Oryctolagus cuniculus: one gene and its partner. Each later gene encodes a partner of the first gene's protein in a complex. Links are inferred from orthologs where the notes say so. Each region holds a gene or a part of one and is shown in the gene's direction. Other genes may lie near its edges. The genes, in order: NPR3 and NPPC.

The links.
Region 2: the proteins of NPR3 (region 1) and NPPC are in contact, whole or in part, in a crystal structure (PDB 1JDP), measured with the Homo sapiens proteins. The link is inferred for Oryctolagus cuniculus from reciprocal best matches to the Homo sapiens genes NPR3 and NPPC. Residues at the interface, in NP_001191304.1 of Homo sapiens: Asn110, Tyr138, Ala141, Pro142, Arg145, Ala161, Gly163, Phe164, His166, Glu170, Tyr171, Tyr204, Lys208, Leu209, Arg211, Tyr214, Phe215, Leu217, Glu218, His221, Glu222, Gln225, Ile233; in NP_077720.1 of Homo sapiens: Gly109, Cys110, Phe111, Gly112, Leu113, Lys114, Leu115, Asp116, Arg117, Ile118, Gly119, Ser120, Met121, Ser122, Gly123, Leu124, Gly125, Cys126.

The regions. Positions count from the first base shown.
Region 1 is NC_091445.1:58,794,194-58,798,487, forward strand, and holds the start of NPR3 (atrial natriuretic peptide receptor 3), read left to right. Parts: upstream 1-1,283; 5' UTR 1,284-2,111; coding exon 2,112-2,865; intron 2,866-4,294. UniProt on the Homo sapiens protein: Receptor for the natriuretic peptide hormones, binding with similar affinities atrial natriuretic peptide NPPA/ANP, brain natriuretic peptide NPPB/BNP, and C-type natriuretic peptide NPPC/CNP.
Region 2 is NC_091434.1:7,439,117-7,443,398, forward strand, and holds the start of NPPC (C-type natriuretic peptide), read left to right. Parts: upstream 1-1,243; 5' UTR 1,244-1,411; coding exon 1,412-1,501; intron 1,502-1,914; coding exon 1,915-2,205; 3' UTR 2,206-2,225; intron 2,226-4,282.

The DNA.
Region 1 (4,294 bases):
CAAATGAACATTCTCACGGCTTCTCCACTGTGAAGATTTTGGGACCACAGTGCATAATGTGCAATCTGAGAGACTCCGAGGAGAAAGCGTCTCCCCTAACAGCGCTAGCGGTGCCAGACAGGGGAAGGCGGTGGAGGGCGGCGGCCGCTGAGGCCAGCAGTTGCCACATGGCCGGACACCTCCGATGGCCTCTTCGCTGTCGCGGTGGAGGAGAGCCAGCGTGCTCCAGGGCCTTGGCCAAAGAAACGCGGCGCCCGGGGGGGGGGGGGGGGGGGGCGGTAGCACCACGGTTAGGCGTCGGGTGCAAGTTTCTGCCGAAAGAGGGCGTCGGTCTAAGACGAATCGAAAAGGGTCGACACCGACGCCCAGGCCAGCCAAAGGCCGTTTTAAAAACATTTTCAACTTCTTTTAACTTGTGAGCCTTCGGCGGCGGCATTCCCCGGCCCCAGCGCTTCTTGGGTCCCACCGTACGCCACTTGGGTCCAGACCCGCTGCGTCCCGCCCCGCCGCGGCTTCCCTGGGCGGTGGACCTCCCCACAGCGCTTCCGCAGCCCGCCTGCTCTGTTGTCGTCCCCGCGGCCGGTGGGGGGACTCGGGTCTCTGAGGCAGGAGCTTTCTTGGCACCGCAGATCCCCGAGCGCAGTGCCTCGAGCACCGAGGAGGCGAAGCTTTGGGAGCTCTGCGCGCTCGGGCTGGAGGGGAGCGCGCATCCCTAGCCCGGGACCCTCCGGGGGTCCCTTGGTCCAGTTACCTGGTGTAGCAAACATGGCCCCGGAGGACGCCCGGGAGATGCGTTTCAAGCTTTGCCGAACCGTTCTCTCTCACCTTCGGGAGCAACAAGTTTCGCTTTCAGGCTCTCAGCGAACCGGCGGGGACTGTGCGCGTGGGGACGCCTTGACCCCGGCGCCGCTGCGACTCCGCCGCGAACCCGCGCGGCTCAGAGAGAGGGGCCGGGGGCCGGCGGGGGCGCGGGGGACGCGCGGGCCGGCCCGGCACCCCAGGTTTGCAATCAAGCCGTCTGCACCGGGACCTTGGTTCTTGTTCCCTGTCCTTGCGCCGGGCACCGGGGAGGTCAGGTGCCGGCCAGGAGTTGGCGCGTCAGGAGGGACCGCGGCGGGCGCAAGGAAAAGGTGAGAGCCAGCGGGACCCCCGGATCTTTGCACCGAAACTACCCATTGCTAGGGCCACCTCGTCCGCCCCCCCCCCCCCATCCTGTTGGTTTTTTGAGGGGGCGGTGTGTGTGTGTGTGTGTGTGTGTGTGAGAGAGAGAGAGAGAGAGAGAGAGCACGCGAACATTGCCTTACTTTTCAAACACATTTCCTTTTCATAAACCCTGGAGCCGGAGGGAGCGTGGTCGGGCAGAGGCGGGCCGGGCCCGCAGGCGTGCGCTGCGCTGCGGGAGCTCTCCGCGGATGCAGACGTGGGTGGCTGCGTCTTGAAGGAAAAGGCAGCGGGCCAGCAAGGAGTGGGTGTCAGGACCCGGGAGCGCCGGGCGGGGAAGGGGTGCGGGGAGGAGCCCTGATGTAGGAATGCTAATGAGAGGCTCCCCCGGTCCAGCCTCCACCTCCCACACCCGCGCCCACCCCACCCGCTGGAAACACAAGCCCGGCCCGGGCGCGCCATGTGTGGTAACGCGCGCCGCTGCTGCCACGCTATTTAAACGCCGGCTGGGCATCCAGGAACCGGCGCGAATCAATGAGATCAAACGCGAGGGAGATGCACCGTCAATTACAAGCACTTGGACAAGTCTAACTTTTTTTTTTTCCTCAAAAAGCAACCTTAGCAACGCCCAAATAAGAAGCTACCTCTAAGCAAAATAGTATATGTATCAAGGGAGGGCGAATATATATATATTTATAATAAGTCGATGTGTATATTACAGACGCACAGGTTTACACTTGGTGAACTTTTTATTTTTTGCGAAAAACTAGTGACATTGCGGAGGACTCTTCCGCTCTCTCTTCGGGCGCGTTAGGGAAGGGGTATTCTGTTTCCTTGGAGCGCCCAAGGGGGCGCAGGGACCTCGGAGAGAAGAGTGGGGAGGAAAGAGGGAGGTGGGTGGGGGGCCGAGGGCGAGTCGGCGCCGAGGGCCAGCGCTTTCTGGCCGCACGATGCCGTCCCTGCTGGTGCTCACTTTCTCCGCGTGCGCCCTGCTTGGCTGGGCGTCGCTGGCCGGCGGCGCGGGTGGCGGTGGCGGGGGCGCGGGCCCCGGCGGCGGGCGCCGGGAGCGAGAGGCGCTCCCGCCGCAGAAGATCGAGGTGCTGGTGCTGTTGCCCCGGGACGACTCGTACTTGTTCTCGCTGGCCCGGGTGCGGCCGGCCATCGAGTATGCGCTGCGCAGCGTGGAGGGCAACGGCACCGGCAGGCGGCTTCTGCCGCCCGGCACTCGCTTCCAGGTGGCCTACGAGGACTCGGACTGCGGCAACCGCGCGCTCTTCACCCTGGTGGACCGCGTGGCGGCGGCGCGGGGCGCCAAGCCCGACCTCATCCTGGGGCCGGTGTGCGAGTACGCCGCGGCGCCGGTGGCCCGGCTAGCTTCGCACTGGGACCTGCCCATGCTGTCTGCCGGGGCACTGGCCGCCGGCTTCCAGCATAAGGACTCTGAGTACTCGCATCTCACGCGCGTGGCACCCGCCTACGCCAAGATGGGCGAGATGATGCTAGCCCTGTTCCGCCACCACCACTGGAGCCGCGCCGCGCTGGTCTACAGCGACGACAAGCTGGAGCGGAACTGCTACTTCACCCTCGAGGGGGTCCACGAGGTCTTCCAGGAGGAGGGCTTGCACACGTCCGCCTACAATTTCGACGAGACCAAAGATCTGGATCTGGACGACATCGTGCGTTACATCCAGGCGAGTGAGCGAGGTGAGCGGGAGCGCGTCCCGGGCCCTTGGTCCTAACCCAGCTGCTCTCCGTGGCTCTCCTCACGCACCGGTCCACTCCTCTGCGGACCCCATTGCCCTCTTTGGAACCGAGGATTCGGGGAGGGAGCGCGCGGGGATGGGTTCAGGCGTGCGCTTTCTGGCTGCAAGGACTTCTGCGGATCGCTCAGCGCAGCGGAGGGGTGTATGCTTAGGGTGCCCGGGAAGTGTAAGGGGCTTGGGGAGGAGGCGTCCGAGCCCGCCGCCCCGGCAAGCGCAGGTCTGACAGGTGCTGTCGAACCACCTGGGTGTTTTTTCCCTTCGTCTTTCCCCTTTGGCTGGCCGGTGGGGGCGCACTCTCGGCGCTCTGCGCCGTCCGGGGTCTGCAGCCTACGGAGGACAGAACTTGTCGCCCTATTTTTCTCCTGGCGTGCGCCCCTCTTAGAGCCGAGGCGTCGGCGGACGCTCTTGCAGCCGCGCGCCGCGGCTCGGCTAGGTCGGGTGCCCCGGTTTGCCTGGCTGCGCCTTCCACAGACCTCAGGTTTCTTTTAAAGGCTCATTGTATCACCCTTCTCATTCCCTGCATGGTCCCTCCAGTCCCTTATAAACGAGCTTCTGTGGTTTCCACCGAAAAGCCCTGCTATGTCTGGACTCAGGCGACGCTCAGTTGTCCCGGCCCCTCACCTCCCTGGCGCGTTTGGCGTCTCCGTCTCCAAAGCGCCCGGGGCTAGGCTTGGCAGGACAGCGCCCTGGAGCAGTGGACTCTGACCCTCTTTTCCCCTTGGCGCCCTTGCTGCCACCAAGTTTTCTCCGCAGGTCTCCAGAGGTTTGGAATAATAGCAAAACTGTCCAGAGAGCTCAAGGCTGGGGATAGTGGCCATGGCTACAGGGAGTGGTGGCGGACGCAGAATCGCGGCAGCCCCCGGTGCAGCCGGTTTGTCTGGAGGGTAGACTGGGCTGGCGGGCGGGCTGCGGCGCAGTGTCCTCCTCCTGGGATCTGGGCTGGGTGCGCGGTGCGCATGGAATCCCACCTCGGCTTCCTCTCGGAGCGCACACGCCTGGGTTGTCCGAGGTGTAGCCCTGGCAGAACTCCCAGCGACCCCTGGTGCCAGGAGCAGAGCTGAGCAGGCAAAGCGCTTGTCCACTGCTTGGCAGGGTTGGGCACCTGGGCGCGGCTCTGGGGGACAGCACTACCTGAGACTAGAAGCAGGACAGGTGAAGTGGGCAGAGAAACCATCGAGGGTGGGGCTGTAGCTATCCCTCTTCCCAATTTGGCCACCTGCGACTCGAGTGAACGCACCCTGTGGAGCGAAGAAGTAAGAGGTGTTGACAGTGGGGATGTGTGGCCAAGGTTGGAGAGTTCGAACTCTAGGCTGTCTGCGCCCAATCCCTGCCAGCTGAGCGGGCGGGGCGCCGGCTTTTCTGATTACGCA
Region 2 (4,282 bases), on another chromosome or scaffold:
AGGGGCTGACAGAGCAAACAGCAGTGCCATTCAGCTTGGGGTCCAGCCGGAGGGCACCTCCTTCTTGTCTCTAGCTGCTTCCACGCCCACAGCTTTCTCTCCCTAAAAACGCTCGCCTGTGCTCTGTCCCCTGGCAGGGTGGGCTTGGCCACCTGCTCAGCAGCAGCAGGCTCACAGATTCCAGCATCTCAATCAATTTTTGGGTGCCAGGCTCACCACCTCCGGGACCCATAACAGAAAGACTCACTCCCCAGAGCCCGATGGACCAGACATCCAGCCCAAGGAGAGGAGGGGGTGAGCCAGGACAACGGCCACGGCCAAGACCTCTAGGAGCAAAAGCTCACAGGTGACCACTCACTGAAGATCCCTGCCCAGCCTGTGCAGGTGCACAAGCCTGAAGAGGACACCCCAGCCCAGCCCGCGCTCTGCAGATCCTGGCGGGAGTGTAGGCGCAGGCAGGTGCGCAAGCTGCAAACTTCGGCCACCTGCACTCAGAACCTGGCACGCTGTGTGCGGCCCATCCCGGCTGAGGGCCAACCTCAGAGCGGCGGCGGCGGGCACCCGAGGTCCCGGCGCCCTCGCACTGGCATCGCAGCCCTCTTCGCTCCCGTCACGAGCTCCATCCCTCGGGCTGCCCAAAGGCTCACGCTCTCTGCTAGGGAAGACTTGCGCTCCCCCCTGCGGCCTCGCGCAAACTCTGCTCTCGCCCGGACCTCCGTCCGGCCCCCTCCCCCGCATGCCCAACCTGAGTGCACCAGCGCGCTCCGCGCTCCCGCCCTGGCGAGCGGGTGAAAGGTGGGACCGCCACGCCAGTCCGCACCGGCCGGGTGCCGGGGGAAGAAGAGTCTGGCGGCAAAACCCACCGGCGTGGACTTCGCGCAGCGCCAACTTCCTGGCTATGGGACTTTGGGCAAGTGACTTAATTGCTCTGGGCCCGTCTTTGCAACTGCAAAGAGCGGTTCGGATCGCTTCCAGGTGCAGAGCGCCTGGTGAGGACGCGCGGGGGCTCGGCGTGCCAGGGCGCGCGCTCGCTGTCACGGGAGTTCCCTCATGCGCGCTGCTTTGCAGCTCCAAGTGCGGCCGGGAGCTGGCCGGCCAAGCCGCGGGATCCCTCGGGGGTGGGATGAAGCCCCCGCGGCTCCCCCTTCCCGGCCCTCAGCACGGCCGCGTGTGCGGTGCCATTGGCCCGGGCGGCCGGGTGGGCGGGAGGATGACATCAGCTGCAGGTTGGATTATAAAGGCGCGAGCGGAGCCGCGGGCTCAGAGCGCACCCAGCCGGCGCCGCGCAGCACTGGGACCCGCGCTCTCCCGGCAGCCCTGCCAGCCCGCTCTGCACTCGCCTGCCGGTCCGCCCTCCGGCCTCGCGCGCCCTCGGTGCTGCCCGTCTGCGTCCCTCGGCTCCGCCGGCACCATGCACCTCTCCCAGCTGCTGGCCTGCGCCCTGCTGCTCACGCTGCTTTCGCTCCGGCCCTCCGAAGCCAAGCCGGGGGCGGCGCCGAAGGTGGGTGCTGTCGCGGGGGCTCCGGGCCTGTGAGCCGCGCGGGAGGCCAGAGGCCTGGGACGATGAGGCGCGCTGGAGGGAGCAGAGCGGGCGGGCTGCGCCCCGAGATGTGCCGTCGGAAGCTGGGATCGGTGGCCTGCTCCCCCAGCCTCGGAGAACGTCCGTTCACGCGCGGCCTCCCTGCCCCACAAGCCGGCAGGAGGGAGGTCCGGGCGCTCCCCGAGGGAGCGGACGGCCGCGAGCACGCGGCAGGTGGACGCGGGCCGGGCGGGCCGGCGTCGGTGGGAGCGCGCCCAGGGCTTTGCAGGGACTCGCACCGGTGGGCGCGCCGGGCCGGAGCACCCGGGGCCCCACGGGGGCGCCCTGCGCTGCAACCGTGCATCCCTTCACCTGCCCACTCTTTTCTTGGACAGGCTCCACGGAACCCGCCTGGGGAGGAGGTGCCCGAGCCGCAGACTGCAGGCGGCGGGCAGAAGAAGGGCGACAAGGCTCCCGGGGGCGGAGGCGCCAACCTCAAGGGCGACCGATCGCGACTGCTGCGGGACCTGCGTGTGGACACCAAGTCGCGGGCGGCGTGGGCCCGCCTTCTGCACGAGCACCCCAACGCCCGCAAATACAAAGGGACCAACAAGAAGGGCTTGTCCAAGGGCTGCTTTGGCCTCAAACTGGACCGGATCGGCTCCATGAGCGGCCTGGGATGTTAGTGCGGCGACCCCTGGCGGCGGTGAGTACCACCCACCCCGCGCGCCCTGCTCTGGAGCCCCCCAGAGCCAAACCGCAGGCCCGCACGGCCGCGCAGCGATGGCTCGCTCATCCCCGGGCCCTTGGAGGGAGCCAGGTGATGGCCACGTGGGGTGCATATTTGCTGCTGCCACCCCACTTGCTCCCCAGTTTGCAGATGAAGAAAGGGAAGGATGCAGTGGTCAGGAAACTTGGGTAAGGTCAGGAGCGCACAGCCGGGATGGGCACACCTGGCTTCCTGGAGAAGCAGAAACAGGCACGGTGAGGTCCCGCCCACCTCTGAACTGGCAGGTGAGTTAGCAGTGTTGGGAGAGTCAAAAGAGCCCATGTGTGTTGGGAGGACTGAGGAAAGACATACCCACCAGCCAGGCTAAGTCTGCCTGTGCCGCTGTGCCGGTGGCCTCCGGCACTGGGCAGCCAGGACAGCTTGCCAGACCTGTTGTCCCTGCAGGGGGACAGACCTGGGAAAATACCTGCCTCTCGCCCAGCTGGGCGCTCTTGGGCATTCTGCTTCTCCTCTCTAAGCCCAGCTGTGGGCGAACTGGTCTGTCCAGGGTCCTGATGCCGCTGCAGCCGCCAGGCTCCGGGGGCCAACCACGGTGCTTGGGACACCATTTCAGGCAGGCAAAGGAAGAGAATGCAATAGACCTTACATCTTGCCCCAGCCTCAGACTGGACATGTCCCAGATGGAGCCCCTCGAAACCCTGTCCTCCACCCAGATGGTGCTCCAGGTCCCTGTCTCTGCTGTGGCCTCCTCCCCACCAACTTGGAAAGCCTGCGGGCAGCCCTGGCCAGGTGTTACCTGGTGACAGTATCCCTCCACAAAGATCCTCACTGCCTCTCTCTCTCTGCCTCCCTCCAATCCGGCTGCCTGCCAATGCCATGGAATCCCTTGGGACCCTGACATGCAGGTGTGTTAAGAGCAAACTCCTGCTGCTTTCAAGGCTTGTCCCCAGCTGGGCCTCTGCCACTGCCTGTCCTGCACCCAGCCCACGGGGCAGTTACTTTCCACCCAAAAAAAAGAGCCCGGTGGTGTGCACCCGAGCACCTCTCCGTGGATACCTTTTCACCTTTGTACCTGCTCACCTCCCATATTAAATCAGGAGCCACTTAAGGGCCAGATGTCAGCCCAAGGCAACCTAGGACTCACAGTGTCCCCAACAAGGGCTCTTCAACATGTTGTCAATGACCAGAGACATCTGCAGGCCCAAGCTCAGGGCTGTCTGTCCCTCTTGCACCTGCCCCGGGTTTTAACCGGCCCCCTTCCTCTCTGCAGCCAGATTTGACCGGGCTCCGACTCCTCAGTTCTGCACTGAACTCTTCCCCTGCCCAGGGAGGGAAATGATGCAAGCCCTTGGGGCCAGCCGCAGGGGCTACCATCATGCTGTCTTTGCTCTCTTGCATTCTGTCTAAACAATGACCAGATGGGGTGAGAGGTCAAGGTCAGGCTTTGGAATCTAAGCAAATGGCAGTTGTCCGTCTGTGGGTCCGTGCCTGGTGTGCCCATCTCACGGGTGCTGTGTTCTCCAGCATGACTGGCTACAGGCCCCGTGGGCGGTGAGAGATGCCGGGGAGCAGGGATCCAGGTGCAAAGTCTCCTCCCCACCTTCGCCCCGGGAGGTTGCCAAGCTCCAAGAAGCTCTGTAGGGCAGAGGAACACCCACACTGACATCCCTAGCCGTCCCCGCCCCACCTGGTACGAGACCAACACATTGTACTTGTGGGTTCCTGGTGGACAGTCCCAGGCCGTGGCCTTGTGTTTGCTTAAAGGAGAAGGACGCACAGCTGTTTCACCTGAATGAACCCGCCTGTGAGCCTGTGGCCACGGCTCCGCTCAGGGCCGACCTTGACTCTCAGCACCACCATAATGACCATGGCTGCTGGTTCCAGGTCTTGATTATAAAGTGCTAATGACTGAGATGGGGTGTGGCCGATACCCGAGTGAAGACTTTGCCCCAGGCACAGGAACATCACAGACACCTGTCATCTGCTTAAACACAGGACGGCTGAGCAGGGGAAAGTTCACGGAGCTGTGCAGG